Arabidopsis thaliana: one gene and its partners. The protein of the gene in region 4 interacts with the protein of the main gene of each other region in a biochemical or structural test. Each region holds a gene or a part of one and is shown on either strand. Other genes may lie near its edges.

Region 1 (7,117 bases), 940 kb from region 4:
TCGTCATCTCTACCGCTACAGTTTCTGCTGTCGTTTCTGTCTTAATAGCTTCAGGTTGGTTATATACTCTGCTCTGATTCTGTTTTGGAATCTTGTAATGAGTGACACTCCAAGTTACTTCCTATATGTATTGAAGAATGAAATGAATTTGGTATTGGATCAGGTTGGATTGGGTTTTTCTATGCGGTGTGGTTGGGAACAAGAGGAAGCCTACGCTTGGCTAAGCAATCGGTTTCAGTGGTGGGATCAGCCATTTCAGGTAACACTATCAGTCGTCATCAACACCAAGACCGGGAGGTAAACATCGAATCAACCAACTGAGAATCCGTCCTTACCGCGTTTGTAAATAAACCCCGACTTTTGGTTGTTAATGGAAGCTTGATATAAATATGATCTATGGAGTTTGTTGTGAAGAAGCAGAGAAAGAATGATAAGAATATTTCAAAATGCAACTTGAAACATTTTGTGATCAATGTCTACGGATTTTTGGATCTATGTATGCATACATTGTGTGTTTTATGTACTTAAGAAAGAATAATGATCAGTATCCATATGAAATCTCAACTCAGATCTCTCCCTCTCTCTACATTTCGGCTGCAAAAAAAAAAAAAAAAACTTGAAACCCTCTAGCCAACCAAGAGGCTTTCAAAAAAATATCCAAACTTTCACCACATTTTGATGATCTTCCAATTATATAACTTATGATCACACCACCAGATCAACCTCAAAAAACTAAAAACCCGAAAACCCAAAAACAAAAACTCATACATTGATCATCCACTTTATAATCAAATCATCAATGGAACTTGAGAAGAGGAACCTCCAAATTTCTTCATTTTGGTAGTGATATTCTCTCTCTCTGTGCAAAAATCAACACTCTTGAGCAGCTTGGCTCTCTACGTGTTCTCCTTCTTTTACGCTGAGAATTTCATCGTCACAAAGATATATACTGCATACATGTTTCTGAGTATATATAGAGAGAGAAAGATGAAACAAAAAAATAAAAAATCCAATATATATAAAAATCCAAATTGATCAAGAAAGTCATTTCTCGTGCCAATCTGGTCTGCCTAATGTAAACTCCAAACTTGGATTTTCACAACTAAGATTTCCACACCTCTTTGCTTGATCATTCGACCTTTGCTCCTGCCAATTTTAACTTTATATTAGATTAAAGGACAAAAAAAACACTAAGAAAGGCAATATCTATCTATACAAATATGATTAGATGGGAATTATCAGAACCTGATTTTGAATGCTGGATCTTTGATAATGAGAGATCATTGATGTTGATGAAGTTCTGATCATTGTATCTATGTCGCTTGAGCAGTTATTACTTAATGGCCATGTCTCTCTATTTTATGATTTAAGAAAAGAAAGAAAACAAATTAAGGACAAATTGTATTTATTGATGTATAGATGCCCTAAAAATAAAATAAAAATCACTACACACAAATTGCGTTTTTTTGCAACTTGCTATATGACCACAATCTACATGTCATACTTATGAAGCAAAATTCGTTTATCCTAGTCTTCCTAGATGAATCTTAAGAACCCAAACCAAATTATAATTAAAAAAAAAAACTTGGTACATATAATTAAAGTTCATCAGCCATAAACCCTAACCAATTTCATCTCATTGTAACCAAAACCATCACTCAAATTTTTTCCCCTTAAACTGAACGAAAACAAACTTAAAATATCATCTAAAAACTATTTTTGTTAGAAGAAAATGGATAGATGTGGGATAAACCAAACAATTGTCGTATGAATTACTTGGTAGGAAGTAGGAACAATTAGGTGAGAGAACCCTAAACCCTATCTCAAATTTCGTCAATCTTATTCTTACCTAATGTTTATATATACTTATCGTGTGTATAATACATGTACGTATATACGTAAACGTACCGTGAAGAGTTACTCCAACGAGGTTGTGTGGAAGAAATGTCAGTTTCTTGATGAAGAGAAGTATCATCAGATTGTGCCCTTTGATCCGTCGATGATTGATGATGAACTTCGTTTCCATTTATGCCCATTTCTTCTTCTCCTGACCCATCTGAAATTTTATTTTAACTTTTTATCAAGTTTCGTTGTCTCAAATCAATCACTTATACCCTATAAGGAATCTCATTTAAAACTGAACGATTCTTGTAAGCTTTTTTGTAAAAGACAATGCAGTGAAGAAATTGTTTTTCTTAAAAAATAATTTCAGCATTTCGTGTTGACCAACCTAATATGTGTCTCAAAAAATAGTTTTACAGACTCGAAAATTGTGCCAAATAAACTTTTAATTGGTTAAAGAAAATCCATATGAAACAAGTGGTTTTTCTTTATTCTTAATTCATGAACTTTGCTTGGATATGAGTTTACACTTCACACGTTTTAAATTTAATCTTTTACTCGATTTTTTTTTCTTAGAGAACATCAATATTGGGGATATATGTTTGTTTGGTTTGCTTTGAACTTTGACCACTCAACTTTAGGGTTCAATCAAAGGAAGGATAAAAGCCTTGAGCTTGACCAATATCTTAGGGCTCGTTTTTTATTATTTTGGGGAAAGGGAATAGTAGAAATAGTAGAATCAAATAGTAAAAATAACAGAAATAATTTCACGTCATTATATCTCTACATACATACAAATATCGAATCACAGCTTCAAATTCTGATTGAGAACTAATTTCTTATAAATATTGTAGTCAAAAAAAGCTATAATAGTGATTATATTGGACCTCCATTTCTATAAAATTCTGGTGGAGAATCCTAAGCTTTATTGTATATCTGTCTTATGTTATTTTTTGGTGAATTGTATATCTTTCTTATTAAAAGCCAGTACCATTTCTTTAGCATATATAAAGCTGAAAAAAGCTATACTAAAGAAATGTGAATATGCATAACATTATATGTGTGTGTGTGTGTAAAGGAATCACACGTACCTGATGAAGCAGCAGGCTTGTTAGTGGTCTTAACAGTTCGATACATCTGCAAAAAAAAAAAAATTAAAGGCATGATGAGAGCTCTAAAACTAGAATAAACCATAAATCCAATTAAAGACACAGGAAAAAACCAAAATAAATATCGGACAAAAGATACTGATAAACTAAATAGATTTATTTTTGTATAATGTGATACAGAATTACAGATGACAAACTGGAGAGATATATGCAGACACATATGAACTTTATATTATTAAATAAATAATATATGTAGTACATATGTGTGGTTTTCTGGGTTTGTCTTGGAACTGATGATGTATATATAATTAATTATTTATGATTTTAAGACCACGAGGTTGATGTCTGAAAGAAGGTTGAGTAATAGAAAGATTGTATTATTATCATTGAGTAATGATGACTACTTTTGTCCCCTCTTCCTAATTTAAAAAAGAAAAAATGAATTATAATCCAAAATAACTTCTATCTATCATCTCAATTCTCCATTGTTTAATAATTCTCTGAAAGGTTTCAGTCACTTAAAGCTATAACTACTCTCTCTTTTTCTCTCTTTAAATTCATTCAACTGCTTCAATTTTCTTGGCAATTGTGCCATCTCTTCCAAAATATGACTAAACTTAAAGCAAAGACAAAACAAGAAAATAAAAGTAACACATCAGAATTGGAGCTCTATTCATTGCTCTGATGATATATACGTACACAAAAACCTTGTTTCTTGATTCAGCTGTTTTTGTGCAAAACGCAAAGGAGAAGAGAGTGACATGATGGTGATGAAAACTATGAAATATCCCTAATTATAGAAAATCTTGATTGGTAACGAACTAACTCGACTAGATTAAACCTAAATTAACAAATAAAAATTGATTCTTTGTTGTGTCTAATTTAATTTCAAATAGAGTATAGATTATACCTGCAAATGGCTCTTCACATGTGCTAAAGTTAAGTCTTTTACATCCATGAGCTCAAGAACCGACTTTGGAGTTGCTCCTAGAATCACAACAACAACAAGAATAAAAGATTTAAGACTTTGAGAATAAAGTGAAGAAAAATGGGAATGATCATTAGAATGTGATTATGATATAAATGTGTACTTTCATGGCCGCCTAGAAGCTCAACAGCGTGAACAAACCGCGCGTGGAGGCTACTAGTCCAACGCATCCTTGGAGCTCTCATGCTTCGCTTTGTCGGCATCTTAGGCAAGAATCTTGATCTGATCATCCCATGATGATGATGGTTATGGTGATGAGGAGAAGACGAATCTGAAGATCCAACGACTCCATACTGATTATGATGATGATGATGATGCAAAGGAACACCTTTAAGCCTCGGGGAAGATTGTAATGATCGGTAAGCGTTGTTGTAGCCGGAAGATGAGTTTAAGATTGAGATTTGATCCATGTCTCCTCCTCCAAGAGAAGGTAATGAAGAGTTTTGTTGGTGGAAAGGGAATGAACGGTTGTGATAGACCGGGATGCCTCTAATTGGACGGTGGAGATTACTAATCTCGGATTCATCGACCCTTTGATGAACACCATTGATGATAGGGTTGTTGTAATGCTGCTGATGAGGAAGATTAAGGGTTCTTCGATCAGGACAATGGAAGATTCTTGCTGTTGGATGGTTATGATGAGATAAAGAGAGTTCAAAGTTGGACGATCGGTTGTTGTTTTCGAGTTGGGAGGATCTTCTTGAAGATTCTTTAGAAGATTCATTGTGATGGTATTGATGAATATCTGGGAGACTGATGTGGAGAGATAGATCAGGGAGAGTAGTTGTTGTGTTTGTTTTGGTTTTCTCTAGAAAAACACCTTCCATAGACATAATTAAAGAAACCTTTCTCTTGCTATTGCTGCCACTGAAGTTGTTGATGATGATAAGGATGATGATGGTGATGATGATGATGACTATTCTTTTGTTTTTTTTTTCTCCTGAGGGTTTTGCTTAGGAATTTAAAATGATTTTCTCTAAGGAGAAGAGAAAGCAGAGAGATTCTTTAGGCAAAGAAGTCAAAAGGGTGTCTGAAAGATTTGATATTTTTTTTGTTCTCTTTCTCTCTCTATATCTCAGAAAGAAAGGAGAAAGTGAGAGAGATGAAGTTAAAGAGAAGCTTAGAAGAAGAGAGAGAAGTTGAGTGATGATCTTCTTGAAGAAACAAACATGCTCAAAGTAAGACGCAGAGAGAGAGAAAAAGAAGGAAGAGAGAGATAGAGAGAGGTATGTGTGTTGTGAAGCAAAGGCAGAAGAGAAAAAAGGAATAAAACTAAATCCAGGAAAATTAAAAACAGGTAAGAGAGAGAGATATATGTGTGTTCGTTCATGTACATGTATGTGTATGTGTATGTGTGAGATGTTGTTCCTCGAGAGTATATCTTGGAAAACGATAGTTGAGAAAGGGTAATATTGTCATTCGCTATATTCCAAATATTGGAAGCTTTTTATTTTATTTTGGGATGGTATTTCAATTTGTCTTTTTCACCTTTCAACAAGTAAACCCATCTATCAATATAATATAAATTATTTTACGGCTAGATTAATTGATTTCATGTTTTAGTTTATTCGTTTAAACTACTGAAATTTTGATTTCCATAGATAAAGTTGAAGAATAATAGCAAAATAAATCTTGTTTTCTATCAATTTAGTAGATGAAATTTTCAAATGTAAAGTGTATTTAATAATCGACCAATTTCATAGATGAAAAGCATACAACTTTTAACAATAAAAATTAATACGATTATCATCCATTAAAACCTTAACAATTTGAGTAATAAATCAAAAACTCAATTGATCTTTAAAATAATAATGTTCACAGATTATCATGAAGAATAATAATTAAAAATGTTGGAGAAGAGTACAAGAGGAGAGAGAATAAAGGGTCGCTCTCTTCTGTCCTATCTAATCTATAGTCAAAGCAAAAGCCAAAATTAAATTAAATAAATAAATAACAAGAAGAAAAAAACAAACACAAGACCTATTCTAAAATAAATAAAAAGTTTCATTATAACCAAAAAAAAATAAAATAAAAAAAGAGAGAGTGCTTTGATTTTGGTACCCCGGAGACGACGGGATACATATGTTGAGACTTGAGAGAGAGAAAGAGACTGTGTCCTCTCTGACTCCTTTTTTATTTTCTCCCCCACTCTCTTCGCTTCTCACTTCACTCTCTATTCACATCTTATTATAATAATTCCTTATACGATTTTGGAATCAAACAAATTCAAGTTTCTGACCGTAGATTGTTCAACTATACCTAAAGAGATAAATATACATTAAATATCAGTACGTTCTTGAGTTTATGAATAGCTCGTATAGACATTTAGTTCCTAGAGATGTGACTACAATATCAACCGGCTACTTGTTTGACCGTTTTGTGTTGTCTATCAATTAGAGCCAAATCGAAGTCATATACATGTCGCTTTAAAATACGTACTTGAAAAGAAATAAAATTAGGCAGATTTATATATATTTTTGACTTGTTTGTGTCGAATGTAATAATGTATGCATTCTAGTGTTTCTGTTTTCTTTGTACTCGACATTTTTACATTCACATTGTTCGTTTATAATTCTACAAAAAAAATTATGGAGTTGACTTTATCTACTGTGAAACAGAAATATGTCATACTGAAAAATAATGAAAAATATACAAAATTGAATAGTATTTAACTATTCGTATGTTTTTGTCAAAGAATTATTATATTTTTTTATCCCACTTTTAATTTGGAATATATAAACTCTGTGTTTTGCCTTCCAAAGGTACGGAAATTATTGTCTTAGAAAGTATCTTTCTCTTCAAATACATACATATATGCATACGTGTGTACAATACAAGGTGCCCTCGTACGTATATAAACCAAGTGTCATATAAAGAATTCGATCAATTATTGTAACGTAACATGCATGCTTTTAGATTATACGTGAAGTTAAATATATATTAGACCTAAGAAAATACTCAGCCAGAAAGTGGATTTTGTTTGTTTCCCTTAATAAACAAAAACAAGTGAACCCTAAAGAACCTAAATATTTGCTTCTAATTCCCTTTTCATTCTCCCAAATATTCCTTCTCAATTTAATAACTCTTTTCTAATTTTCTTTAAATTGTCTTCTAAGAAAAAAAATAAACTATTCACTCCTCACATGACCATATCAATACAACATCTCGACAAATCATT
Region 2 (3,990 bases), on a different chromosome or scaffold from region 4:
ATGCTGAGAGGGAAGGTGGTACCCTTCTGAAAACACTGCTCCTGTAAGTTTTAAAATCATATTTTGGAATATCTACAGCTTGCCCTTGCCTCAATTTCTCCATACAAGACAATAAATGCTCTGTGTCAAATGCGTCTACAGAAACAACAACAATTCATTAGAATCCTGGATAAAAAGAAATTAACGGTGGATGACAAAGAGTAATGCACAAGACTTTTTCTCATAACTCCCAGCAACTAGTAATGTGCTGTCAGGGATGAAATTGCTTTAATAAAAGAGAATACATCAATTAGTAAGATATCACTGAATAATATGGCTGTTAGTTATGCCTTAATTATCCCAAAGAAGTATTATAAAAAAAAAAAAAATGGCCAAAGAAGCTAGGAAAGATTTTTTACTCCTGATGACACTATGTATTGACAAGAGTAGATTACAGAAAGCAATTACACTCCAAATATATTCTCACCTGGATGATCAAAGTTGTATTCATGAACTCTAGCAAGTTCTTCTTCAGTCAGATTATGATAGAACGAGTCCTGCCAAAAATCATTATCATAGGATATTAAGTCGAGCAATTTGTGGTTTATCATGATGCCAAAGGAATTTGAGAATTAGATAAATAGACTGACATAAATATCTAAACAATGGTGACAAGGTTGAACAATGTTAAACTTCAGCCATATATAAGTTATTAGCTGGTAATATTCTCCTTTTAGATCTCTAAATTGTGTGGAATTCAATTGACTTCATATACATTCGAAACACAAATCAAACCGGTGGTTATCACTTAGCTCTATGAAACTTTATTAGCAAAACAAAATTACCAGGTTAATAAGTACAACACGCTGATCGTGCAGTTGCTGGATTATCATATCACAAACAGTAGTCTTTCCCGATGCTGCGCCTCCAGCAACACCTAACCAATTCAAGTCACAACATATCAATCAAGACCATTCGTCAAGCTTTTTTTATCCACGACCATATATTAATCAAAAATGAAAGCAAAAGCAGAACTCACCTATTACAAAAGGCTGTCTTTGGATATCTTCTGATGCAGAAGTGGTTTCCTTAAGTGCACTTGGTTCCAACCCATTCATGTGCCCATTCACGTGTAAACCAGAAAAATGTGCCCGCGAGGCAGCTTCGATCATGTCAACAACGGACTTAGAACCCATCCCGACGACAATTCTGGACATTGTACATTGGTAAAATAACTTAAATCTTTATCACAATCATGCATAAGCAAACACAATACAAGGAATCTTACAACTTCATCTAGATTCTAAACAACAATGTGAATCAAATCCAACTTTATCCAGCAAAACAGAGAAGAAAAGAGTGAAAAATTTCAGCTGCAACCAAAAACTGTAAATCCAAACTCTTTTGATAACCATAGATCAACAAATGCGAGAACAATCCAAAAGAAACAAAACCCTCAAGTTATAACATTTAATCAAACATGGAAGAACCAGAAGAGCAATGATCGATCATCTCGAGGTGAAATCGTACTTACATGAAAAAACAGATCGTTCAAAAGAGATAAGTCGTAAAAATGAGATTTTTAAAATTACCCAGATTCAGTTTTGCTCTCAAGGATCTAAGGAAAGCCTCAAATCAGAAAAAAAAACGGAGATGCAGTTTCTTTCTGTGGAAGTAGACAGAAACAATAGAATCTCAGATAAGAAAGGGACAGTTTTTTAATTTGATTAAATTTGATAAAAGTGTTTTTATTTAATTTAATTTAATTGCTTACATTGGTAAAAGCTGGATTCGGACATGATTGATTTGATATATAATAATGGCGGACGTGTTTGAGGTGACGAACGCAAGAGAACGAAGAACCAGGAAGACGATGCTTCAAAACAAAACAAAAAAAATCTAGATATCTTTTTCTTTTCCTTATTTATGAAAAGAGTCGTATACTTTCTAATTATTCATAATCAACCCCACAATTGATTTTACATCTAATTTTTGGATTTTGGTACATTCCCGGTTTAATTCCCGGTTACTACCTAATTGGCGGTATTGGTTTTTGACTCAGAAAAAGTGAAGAAGGAGAGCTTTCATCATCATCTCAGTCTCTCTCGAAGTTTCAAGTTCGCGACTATGGCAGCAGCGATGTCTTCTTCTTGTTGCGCTTCCTCGCTTCGTTTAATCCCATTCAAACGGACCTTGTTTTCTTCAATCCATTATCCGGCCAAAACCCTTCTTCTACGACCACTAAAACCGTCGGAAGTTCCTTCCTTTCGCCGGACGATCATCACTTTCCAGAAAATTTCAACCGGGATTGTTCCTCCACCATCGGCTTCATCATCTCCGTCGAGCTATGGAGACCTTCAACCAATCGAAGAGCTTCCACCGAAGCTACAAGAGATCGTCAAGCTTTTCCAATCGGTACAAGAGCCAAAGGCTAAATACGAGCAGCTTATGTTCTACGGGAAGAATCTGACACCTCTCGATTCTCAATTCAAGACGAGGGAGAATAAAGTAGAAGGATGTGTTTCTCAGGTTTGGGTTAGGGCTTTCTTTGATGAGGAACGTAATGTTGTGTATGAAGCTGATTCTGATTCGGTTCTCACTAAAGGGTTAGCTGCTCTATTAGTCAAGGGTTTATCTGGAAGACCTGTCCCTGAGATTTTGAGGATAACACCTGATTTCGCTGTTCTTCTCGGGTTGCAGCAGAGTCTGTCTCCTTCTAGAAACAATGGATTACTTAATATGCTTAAGCTGATGCAGAAAAAGGCTCTTCATTTGGAAGTCAAAGGTGAGGAAGATTCAAGTTCTGGAGAGAGTTCAGAATCCAGCTTTGTGTCTATTCCTGAGACTAAGGACGAAGCTAATGTTCCGGAGGTGGATTTGGAGTCTAAACCTGATCTAGTTGAGGATTTGGGAACAGAAAAGATTGATGATTCTGAGAGTGGGTCAAATGTTGTTGCTTTAGGGAGTAGAGGGATGAGGATAAGAGAGAAATTGGAGAAGGAGCTAGATCCTGTTGAGTTAGAAGTTGAAGATGTTTCTTACCAGCACGCAGGACATGCCGCTGTTAGAGGTAGTGCTGGTGATGATGGGGAAACACATTTCAACTTGCGAATCGTTTCGGATGCTTTCCAAGGTAAAAGCTTGGTCAAGAGACATAGGCTGATATATGACTTGTTGCAAGATGAGTTGAAGAGCGGGTTACATGCTCTCTCTATTGTGGCAAAGACTCCTGCTGAGGTTTGAGGGTGTAACATTGGAAGAAGTCAGGTCCTGATTCTTTTACTTCTTTTGGTCCATTTGCTTTGGATATTGTTCTCTGGACCTTCTAATAATGTTAAGAGCTCGATCAGGATTGTGTTAAATGAGAGATAGATATTGAAGGATATAAATAATGTTTTCGCCAATCGCCACATGATTCACCATTTTCAAACTGATTTCCCTTTATCTTATGAGGGTCAAGGTCTTTTTTGTTTTGATATGGTTTCCTGATATTAAGTTTTGTACCTACGCTTTGAGAGATGAATAGAGAGAATGCTCAAGGTTGTTGTCCATTTGGCTAAGTTTGAATCGTTAGAAAGATCACAGCACCTAGGGAAAGCGAAAAAGGAATTTGGGGAGAAAAATGGTACTATATTCATGCCACCATTAGACATGCGAAGTTTCTTGTTCATTTTTTAATTCTTCTAGAATCTAGATACTCAAAGTTGGTATTGTCTAATCAAGTGATGCAAGTTGGTTTGAGGGACTACAGAAAAAAAGAAAGAGATTTGGTTGCTTTACTTCTTTCTGATAAAATAAGTAAAAAATGTGAAAGGAGTTTCAGATGATCCCTGTTTCAGTCTACCGTTAGACATGTGATGTTTCTTAAAGCCCCATTAGCTGAGACTTGTGGGGTTTTATATACAATCAGCTTTACATACCTGTCTAGTGAAACCAGCTGTGGTTTTAGCCAACCAATTTCTGCAACTTTTCTTTCCTGAGACCATTGTATCTTTTTTTTTTTTTTTTTTT
Region 3 (3,736 bases), on a different chromosome or scaffold from region 4:
CTTGATTCCATTTCTCCTACTGTTGAGAATCGTGCCTGTCAAACCAAACTTGTTGAAGATTCTGTGAGGAAGTTGCTCAGAGAAAGTGTAGCGTATAGCTTAACAGATTTTGAATCTGCTGAGACTGAGACAGCTGGAGATGAGCTCCAGCCAAATTCACAGGACATTGATGAAAGAGATCCACGAAAAAGGCCAGGGGATTGGTATTGTACAGAGTAAGTAATCTTACTGCATTGCTTGGTAATGTTTATGATTCGATTTCAGGGATGTTAATCTTTGGGCTCTTTTTTGTATTATGAACTGGGCAGATGCAAGTTTCTAAATTTTGCGAAAAACATAAGATGCTTGCGATGTGATGTTTTTTCTGAGGAAAGGCTTAAACAGTTGAAGGAAGAACAAAAAGATCATCTCCCACTGAAGAAAGGAGATTGGATTTGTCAAACGTGAGGACAAACTGTTTCATCGGTTAGTGTTTAATCTGATTAAAACCATGAAAACATGTTTAAGATTTTTGTTTTACTTGCACAGATGTAATTTCCTGAACTTTTCGAAAAACACGAGATGCTTAAGGTGCAAAGACAAGCCTACATTGCGTCAAATCAATCCCGGAGAGTGGGAATGCGAGTCGTGAGTCACCTCCTTAAACCTTAAAACTAAATGCTGTTTAAAGTCTTAAAATCTGGCGATCGTTGTTGGAAATTGATAATGTTTCTATACATCATCAGGTGCAATTACATCAATTTTAGAAGAAACTCTATATGTTTGAAGTGTGATCACAAGAGACAAAAGGCTGCAAACGTCACTCCGGATTCAAAGACAGTTGCTGATCGTCAAAGCGGAGTTACAAAGACGTGGAGCTTTGTAGAAGAAGAGAGTGTAAAACGATGCAATGGCGAAGAAGAGGAAGAAGAAGATGGTTTCATGGGATTTCCAGTAGAGGGAGGGAGAAGCAATGTTTCAAAGAGCGCAGAAAAGAGAGAGCAATGGAAGTTGGAGATGACACAGAGAATTAGAAGCAATGGGACTAAAGCGAAAAAAGATGATAATACGAAGAACGAAACAGAGTCAAAATGTTATGATCGGAGAAGAAATGAACTTCTTGGTAACATTAGTGATGATGGAGAGATGGATGATTGGTTTGTTTCAAAACAAGATAGATCGACTTAAATTGAATTTATAAATTTGTAACCACATCCATCTGTTTGTTTCTTCTAGTGTTTTATTATTGGTTCATTGGTTGGTTTGATTTGGACATTTGTTTTTTCGTCTGAAAAGAAACTCGAAACAGAGAGTTTGTTGAAAACTCCAACTACATACATACAAAGCAAAAAAGTCAAAACAGAGCGTAAACAACAACCACCAAAACAAAGCAAGAAGCACCACTACTACACCATCTATTGTTGTCTTTGTTATGGTTGGTTCATATTTTGTCATAGTGCTTTTTTTTTTTTTCAATAATGAGATATCGACAGTACAAATAATTCTCAAAATAATAATTTTCGTATTATTTAATTAAACTTTACGAAGTCATAAAAAAATAAATTAAAATTATACATTTGTTGGAAGTGGTGGAGAAAAAGTGGGGTTACAAAATACAACCACTGTACGACTAGAAGCACTTGACCAACTCTCTCTCTTTTTTCTTCCTTCCATTTTTCACAATTCATATCCTGTCTGATGAACAGTAGCTGTTAGACTCTCTCTCTTTCTCTCTTCTCTGTTCTTCTTCATCTTCTCTAGCCGAATCCATCCTTCAGATACTACTCTGTAATTTCACTACAATCATCTCAGCCAAATGGGTTCGGAAGAAGAGAAGGTCGTTGGTAAGTCTAATCCAATTTTTTTTTTTGATTCGATTAGTCTCTTTGATTTGGAATCTAGGGTTTTACTTTATTGCTTCCTTAGGTTTAAAGTAACGATTTTGATTACACAGATTGCGAAGTCACTCTATATCGTTGTTGATCATTTGTATCTTTGATTGATTTTGTGTGGTTTGCAGTTCCCAGAAACTTTAGATTATTGGAAGAGCTAGAAAGAGGTGAGAAAGGAATTGGAGATGGGACAGTGAGTTATGGAATGGATGATGCTGATGATATTTTGATGCAATCTTGGACTGGTACCATTCTTGGTCCTCATAATGTTAGTTTTCTTCTTCTCAATCTATCTCTTCATCTTTTGTTTAACTTAAATGATAATATCTATGGTAGATTTGAATAAAGATGCATTTTTTAATGCTAAAGCAAGAACCTTTCCAAATGTTTAACTTAAAAGATGCAATTTTTTGCTACTTGTTTGTCACTATAATTCGAGGGTTTAATTTAACTTCAAATGATCCTTAGCTGAGTTTAGTAACCTTATGTAGCATTTTAAAACCAATTTTGGTGAATGAGAAGAGACAAAAAGGGAAATGAATTGAAGTATTTGTTTCCACTTTTGGTATTTGAGAAGAAAGATTGATGTTTTTGTTATCAGACTGCGTATGAAGGGAAAATCTTTCAGCTGAAGCTATTCTGTGGAAAGGATTATCCGGAAAGTCCACCTACTGTGAGGTTTCAGAGTCGTATAAACATGGCTTGTGTCAATCCTGAGAATGGAGTGGTAAGCTTTTGAACTAACAATATTAGTAATAAGAGGATCTTGTTTTGCAAAATATTCATCTTGGTTAAACTGAACGATCAGGTTGATCCGAGTCACTTCCCTATGCTTTCCAACTGGAGAAGAGAATTCACAATGGAGGATCTACTGATTCAGCTTAAAAAAGAAATGATGTCATCGCAGAACCGCAAGTTAGCTCAACCCTTGGAAGGTAATTTTCTTTAGTTTAGGTATATGGGATTACACTTTCCTAACCCGGTTTAGCCGCACTGGCTATGCTCTGAGCAAAGAGCCACATATCATAGTTTTTCTAACCAAAACTGAATGTATCATCAGGTAATGAGGAAGGCAGGACAGACCCAAAGGGACTAGTGGTGAAATGTTGCGTGATGTGAAAAGAGGTAATGAGGAATTTATAAGAATTTAAGAGACAAAACAATGTATATAAACAGCATTTGAAGGGCTTTGAGATTGGCCTAAGAACCCTTTCTTCTATAGGCCTTCTTAATCCTACCATTTGATTATGTATTATGTAATATTTGAGAATATATTCACCAAAAACAGGTGCCCTTAATAAACCTCCACTCTTCTTCACTTTTTTTGGTCTTTTACTTTTGTGTGAGTGTATGCGGCCTACTTTGGAGGACATAGAGATTGAAGGTCGTATCAAAAGAAGTGCCTTTTGCATATAATTGATAAAGCAAAAGTTGCAGGTAATTACTTTTTCATTTGGGAAGAATGATGAAAGATGTTCGTTATAGTCACGTAGTTGTAGACACATTCTACTCTTCGGATCTTGAGAACCAAACTTTAAGCAGTGTGGTTAGAGAATATGCGAACAATTTGAAGTGTTTAGAGATCGATTAGACAGACATACAGAACACGTAGAACATGCAGTTGAAACGGCAGTGGCAAATCCGACTGATAGATTTGACAAATAGCAATACTAAACAAGGCAACAAATCCGACTTATAGATATGAATATATGATACTCGAGTCGATGCATGCGATTGTTAAGTAGCGGAATGATTAGATATATGTAACTAAATTCTACAAAATAGCGATGCTAAGTCGAACACCTCTTTAACTTAACCAGTTTTACTAACCATCAAGTCATCAACTATAATGGTTGGTAATTCAA
Region 4 (5,711 bases):
ATCACCAGTTTTGACGCATACTTTGATTACCTTGCCAAGAAGGATCCAGAGTTTGCTGCCTTGTTTCGAGTCAGATCCTCTTCAAGAACTGAACCAGTCAGCTCCAATCCACCTGATGCGCCTAATGCCACAACTGCTGGGATCGGACCTGAAGCTGTCGAACCTGAGGCTGTTGTAGCTAACCCAAACACTGGGTCATCTCCATCTGAGGCTTTCTAACATTCTGTATTAAGTTTCTTTTTCACTCATCAAAACTTGAATCTTTTGTTGGTTTGTTATGTAAAATTATTTGGCCTTCTAACATTCTGTATTCAGTTTCTTTTTCTGTACTTGAAACCTAAAATTTCAGCTTTTAAATATGAGTTTAAGGTTTCTTAATTAGTATTCAACTTCAAAGTTTAGTATAAAAATCCAATTAAGATAACCATTAAATATTGTTAAGTAGAACAGTAATCCCTATATTCAACAGTAATCATGCTTAAAACAAAACAGAAAAGAGTCGCTTATTTACCGCGAATCCATCGCAAACTTTACTACGGATTTGCGACTACAGATAAAAGCCACGCAAATCCATCGCAAATTTTGCGAGGCATTAGCGGGACAAAGAATTTGCGACTACTTTGCTACTGAAGTATTCCCTCGCAACTTGCGAGGAAAGAGCGAGGCTACTGTTGCAGCTAATATGCTACCGAGTACGTCCCTCGCAAATTGCGTGTGCTTCGCGAGTCTGGTCGTCCGTCGCAACTAGCGAGAAACTTGCGAGACCCGAAATTTGCTGTGAATTTGCTACGGATTGCTTCCCTTGCAAATTGCGTGTGTTTTGCGAGGCAACTTGTTCCTCGCAACATTTGCGAGGAACTTGCTACGAATTTGATTTTACGACGCGCGTTTTGCGAGGAACTGGAGTTCGTCGCAATTCCCTCGCTAAATGCTTTTTGCGAGAGACTAGCGACGGTTTCTTCCCTCGCAACTGGCGTGTTTTCTTGTAGTGACATCTACTTGAAGATTTAAAGCTTCGCTTTATTTATACGTTTGAAATCGATGCAAATGCAATTTTTCCAACCATGCAAAAGTTTACGCATGCAAGCACCTACAGTTATGAAGCAATTTCAAAGAACCCACCAAAGACAGAAGATATTAGATACGAAATACATATTTCAAATAAAATACTAGATTGACGATTGCATATATAAGTTTTTGTAAGTTTCTTGTACCATTGTACATAACTCATAAATATTGTCTCTAGATAATTAAGTATGTCTTATCGGTCAAATTCTATATCTTAAAAATAAGTAAGATTACTCATTAACTGCATACGAAAAAAAATTTAAACCACTCATTTCAATCGGATTCGAAATATAGGATAATCCACTTCATTTATATGTCTTTAACAACGACTATGACACGAAAGAAAATTATAAAGTAAACGAACTATTTATTATTGTAATAATTATAAGTCATCACTAATCCATAATAAATCGGATATCTATTCATTAAGAAGAGCATATATTAAAATAGTTTATACAAAAATATCCACACTGTATTATATTCGACGTTTGGACATTATCCAAAAGCTAGATTTAAGACAAAAGTCGCAAGTACCCATAAACCTTGGGGGGCAAATTGGAGTTTTCGTACAACGATAATCAGACTCCACTTATCCGCTTTTTTCAATTATCACAATAAAAGAAACGAATAATAATAATATTTTAATAATTTGTTCTGTTCTGTTCTTCATCTCATAGATCTCTCCTCTCTACACTTTCTTCTACAAAAGTGAGCAAATAAACTTGCCTCTTCGTCTGCTTCGTGAGATTTCAGATCCTGTAAAGAAATTTTATTAGCTCAAAAGAATCATTTTTGGGTTTCTGAACCATAAAAGCTTCTCTCGACTTTCAAAAACTCTCTCCTTTTTCCTTTTAGCCATTTCAAGCAGAGAGATTGATCGAAGAAGATAAAAACCTCGTCTTTCTTCAATCTCAGTGATTCTCAAATTACCCATCGCTTCCTTCTTTTGATCTCTTTGATTTCACTTCAAAAAGCAAAGAAATCTCGATTAGGTTATTCCTTGTTTCACCCCATAAATTTGCCTCCTTTTTTTTGGTCTCGGGAACTACTCTGATTTGTTTCAATCGATTCTGGATTTCGGGATTTGGATATAGAGCTCTCTGTTTTTGACATTGCCTTTGGAACTAAAATTCTCAGTCTTTGCATTTTTTTGATTCAAAAGCTCACTAAGTTTGGGTTTCAGAAGCTATTACATTTGGTCTTCGTAAGCGTCCTTTGAATGCCCTGTAGCTGAAGATGCAGCCTGATCACCGCAAAAAGGTCCAATTTTTCAATCTCTTATGTATCAGATTTGCTTATTAGAACTGATTAGGATCTGTAGCAATCCTTTTTACTGTTACTGCCTTTTAGTTTAGTCCTAATCTTTCTCTGTATTGAAGCTTTTGATATTGACAATAGATTTTTCTGTATATTCAGTCATCAGTTGAGGTAGATTTCTTCACGGAATATGGTGAAGGAAGCAGATACAGAATAGAGGAAGTGATTGGTAAAGGAAGTTATGGAGTTGTCTGTTCTGCTTACGATACACATACCGGAGAGAAAGTTGCGATTAAGAAAATCAATGATATCTTTGAGCATGTTTCGGATGCAACTCGCATTCTTCGTGAGATCAAACTTCTTAGACTCTTACGCCATCCTGACATTGTTGAGATCAAACACATCTTGTTGCCGCCTTCAAGAAGAGAGTTTCGAGACATTTACGTGGTTTTCGAGCTTATGGAATCTGATTTGCATCAGGTTATTAAGGCAAATGATGATTTGACTCCTGAGCATTATCAGTTTTTCCTCTATCAGCTTCTTCGTGGCCTCAAGTATATACACACAGGTTAAGCTAGCGAGCAATAAAATTTCATTGATTAGTATAAGTTTATGATTATCTTTCTGAAAATACTTTTTTTTTCTCTTCCTTTCAGCTAATGTCTTTCATCGGGATCTTAAACCCAAAAACATATTGGCAAATGCTGATTGCAAACTCAAGATCTGTGATTTTGGACTTGCAAGAGTCGCATTCAATGATACACCGACTGCGATATTCTGGACTGTGAGTAGTAGTAATTTAAATGCTTACTCTTTACAAGTTTACTCTTTTTGGTATGAAACCAATTTTTTATTCCTACTGCTTTCTGATCGCAGGATTATGTAGCTACTCGATGGTACAGGGCTCCAGAACTATGTGGATCTTTTTTCTCAAAGGTGACCATGATTTTGTATATATACTTTCATCGAATGTTTCAAATTTTCATAGGGAATCTAGTCAGTAGACACTATAGCTCTCTCATTCAGATTATAAAATTTTATGGTAACATTTTTTTTCTTTATCTATGCTTCTGTTCAGTATACACCGGCAATAGATATATGGAGCATCGGGTGCATTTTTGCAGAACTCTTAACAGGGAAACCTCTTTTCCCCGGGAAAAATGTGGTCCATCAATTGGATCTGATGACGGATATGCTGGGAACTCCATCTGCTGAAGCCATTGGAAGGGTATGTGTTCCTTTCCACAATGCTTAAGCATTGTTTCTTTTTTTGGCTGAATTTCTTACACTGAAACAGGTTAGGAACGAGAAAGCTCGAAGATACTTGAGCAGCATGAGGAAGAAGAAGCCTATTCCTTTTTCACATAAGTTCCCACATACTGATCCTCTTGCTCTTCGTCTTCTAGAAAAGATGTTGTCTTTTGAACCCAAGGACCGGCCTACAGCTGAAGAGGTGGTTCATACATTTCGTTCTTTACACTCCTTATGATGTAACTTTGGTTATAGCTAACTAAATGGTTTTATGTGTTACCTCAGGCGCTTGCAGATGTGTACTTCAAGGGTTTAGCTAAGGTTGAAAGAGAGCCTTCTGCTCAACCTGTCACAAAGTTGGAATTTGAGTTTGAAAGGCGGAGGATCACAAAAGAAGACGTCCGAGAGCTCATATACAGAGAGTCTCTGGAGTACCACCCAAAGATGCTGAAAGAATACTTGGATGGATCAGAGCCAACTAACTTTATGTACCCGAGGTACCGGCCTGAGCTGACCTGCTTCATACTATACTCCTGTGTATTATCCATGTTCTTATGGTTAATGTATTATTCATTCTGCAGTGCGGTGGAACATTTCAAGAAACAATTTGCTTACCTCGAGGAACACTACAAGAATGGTACTTCTCATAATCCCCCTGAGAGGCAACAGCATGCATCATTACCAAGGTATGCTTTACGTCCTTTAAAAATTTGATCATTTGGGATTCTTTCGAAACAGCTCAACAAAGCCTCTTTTTATGTTTTGCAGGGCTTGCGTATTGTACTCTGATAACAATCATCCGGTGGCACAACAGAGTTCAGCTGAAGTCACTGATGGACTCTCCAAGTGTAGCATTAGAGACGAGAGACCTCGGGGTGCAGACAGGAATGCCCAGATGCCAATGTCGAGAATTCCTATCAACGTCCCTCAAACAATCCAAGGTCTCTCACCCTCTCTGTATATAATGTTATGATGCAGAATAACTCTGTCTCCTGAACATTTATCTGGTTGTAATGAAGCAGGTGCTGCAGTAGCTAGGCCTGGTAAAGTAGTTGGATCAGTGTTACGCTATAACAACTGCGGCGCAGCCACAGGCGTTGAAGCTCTTGAACAACAACAGAGAAGGATGGTCAGAAATCCAGCTGCTGCGTCTCAATACCCAAAGAGGACTCAACCTTGCAAAAGCAACAGAGGAGATGAAGATTGCGCCACCGCTGCTGAAGGTCCAAGTAGATTGAAGCCAAACACTCAGTATATACCACAAAAAGTGTCTGCAGCACAAGATACTGCAATGAGTCGCTGGTATTAAACATGATGTTATGGTTCTAGTTTTAGCTTTACCACCTCACGTCTCAGGGAGAGCTAAAAAGAGTATCCCTTTGAGTCATCCATTGTGTTATCAAGAGCCGAAACGTGAAGACATGCTTAAGAGCGAAATGAGAGAAGGAAGCGTGAGAAGATAAAAGAAGTTCTTACAGATCCTGTCATGTAATTTGTCTTCATAGTTTTGTATTCTTAAAACAACCTTTGTTTATCTACGTTGTAACACTTACACTGTCTACGATTCTTATATCCCATGAACTCAATCTGTTTCACCTAATAATCTGATATGCACCAACAATAAACCCCAAATTTCATTGGATCTTTGATTTATGAGAAAACGCGTTGAAAACGATTCATTGTACTTGCTAGATCCGATTAGATCAGCCATTATCCATAACAGAGATTATACAATGCACAAATCTTTCTTCTTTCTCTCCCATTCAGTGCAACCGGGGCTTCACTCGTCTTCCACTCGCGTCACAACCATCGGCAAATATTTCTTTTCGATGTCCAGATACTATAACAGAGTGTTCACTTAGCCTCGCCACATACTGCAATAGCTCCGTTAGTAAAGATGGGCAACTCTCTTTCAGATAATCAAACCCATCTGTTTGCATCACAGCTGATCATAACAAAAGGGAAAAAACAGACACAAGTCTCATCATGTGAACAGAGTTGATTCAGATCGATTAAAAAGAAAGATCTTGTGTGTTTACCTTTCAGGTTCTCTGGCAGTGCCACGAATTTGAGACACACTGCTTTTAGCTGCAAACAATGATGCTGCTCTGCTAGGGCCAAAGTAGTTGCAACCG

Evidence for each region.
Region 1: of the proteins of MPK16 (region 4) and KAN, one has a biochemical effect on the other in vitro, tested with the Arabidopsis thaliana proteins (one large-scale study listed by BioGRID).
Region 2: of the proteins of MPK16 (region 4) and CPSUFE, one has a biochemical effect on the other in vitro, tested with the Arabidopsis thaliana proteins (one large-scale study listed by BioGRID).
Region 3: of the proteins of MPK16 (region 4) and MMZ2, one has a biochemical effect on the other in vitro, tested with the Arabidopsis thaliana proteins (one large-scale study listed by BioGRID).

Annotation. Positions count from the first base shown.
Region 1 is NC_003076.8:5,406,321-5,413,437, forward strand, and holds KAN (Homeodomain-like superfamily protein), read right to left. Parts: upstream 5,447-7,117; 5' UTR 4,773-5,446; coding exon 4,043-4,772; intron 3,939-4,042; coding exon 3,862-3,938; intron 2,980-3,861; coding exon 2,934-2,979; intron 2,057-2,933; coding exon 1,909-2,056; intron 1,355-1,908; coding exon 1,246-1,354; intron 1,147-1,245; coding exon 1,045-1,146; 3' UTR 543-1,044; downstream 1-542. Other genes in the region: AT5G16550 (voltage-dependent L-type calcium channel subunit), read left to right, coding at 1-54, 164-321. UniProt on the Arabidopsis thaliana protein: Transcriptional repressor that regulates lateral organ polarity. Promotes lateral organ abaxial identity by repressing the adaxial regulator ASYMMETRIC LEAVES2 (AS2) in abaxial cells. Required for abaxial identity in both leaves and carpels.
Region 2 is NC_003075.7:13,381,688-13,385,677, reverse strand, and holds CPSUFE (chloroplast sulfur E), read left to right. Parts: upstream 1-2,036; 5' UTR 2,037-2,106; coding exon 2,107-3,222; 3' UTR 3,223-3,480; downstream 3,481-3,990. Other genes in the region: UKL4 (uridine kinase-like 4), read right to left, coding at 23-135, 467-536, 825-916, 1,019-1,175. UniProt on the Arabidopsis thaliana protein: Participates in cysteine desulfurization mediated by NFS2 in chloroplast and NIFS1 in mitochondrion. Activates the cysteine desulfurase activity of NFS2.
Region 3 is NC_003070.9:26,638,960-26,642,695, forward strand, and holds MMZ2 (MMS ZWEI homologue 2), read left to right. Parts: upstream 1-1,635; 5' UTR 1,636-1,795; coding exon 1,796-1,823; intron 1,824-1,999; coding exon 2,000-2,139; intron 2,140-2,472; coding exon 2,473-2,598; intron 2,599-2,679; coding exon 2,680-2,806; intron 2,807-2,931; coding exon 2,932-2,990; 3' UTR 2,991-2,996; coding exon of another isoform or gene 2,997-3,022; 3' UTR 3,023-3,190; downstream 3,191-3,736. Other genes in the region: AT1G70650 (Ran BP2/NZF zinc finger-like superfamily protein), read left to right, coding at 1-215, 309-443, 529-627, 726-1,102, 2,000-2,139, 2,473-2,598, 2,680-2,806, 2,932-2,990. UniProt on the Arabidopsis thaliana protein: Has no ubiquitin ligase activity on its own. The heterodimer with UBC catalyzes the synthesis of non-canonical poly-ubiquitin chains that are linked through 'Lys-63'. This type of poly-ubiquitination does not lead to protein degradation by the proteasome.
Region 4 is NC_003076.8:6,344,270-6,349,980, reverse strand, and holds MPK16 (mitogen-activated protein kinase 16), read left to right. Parts: upstream 1-1,713; 5' UTR 1,714-2,304; coding exon 2,305-2,328; intron 2,329-2,484; coding exon 2,485-2,893; intron 2,894-2,981; coding exon 2,982-3,109; intron 3,110-3,201; coding exon 3,202-3,261; intron 3,262-3,403; coding exon 3,404-3,553; intron 3,554-3,622; coding exon 3,623-3,778; intron 3,779-3,861; coding exon 3,862-4,073; intron 4,074-4,157; coding exon 4,158-4,262; intron 4,263-4,344; coding exon 4,345-4,517; intron 4,518-4,598; coding exon 4,599-4,885; 3' UTR 4,886-5,211; downstream 5,212-5,711. Other genes in the region: BPM1 (BTB-POZ and MATH domain 1), read right to left, coding at 5,340-5,521, 5,616-5,711.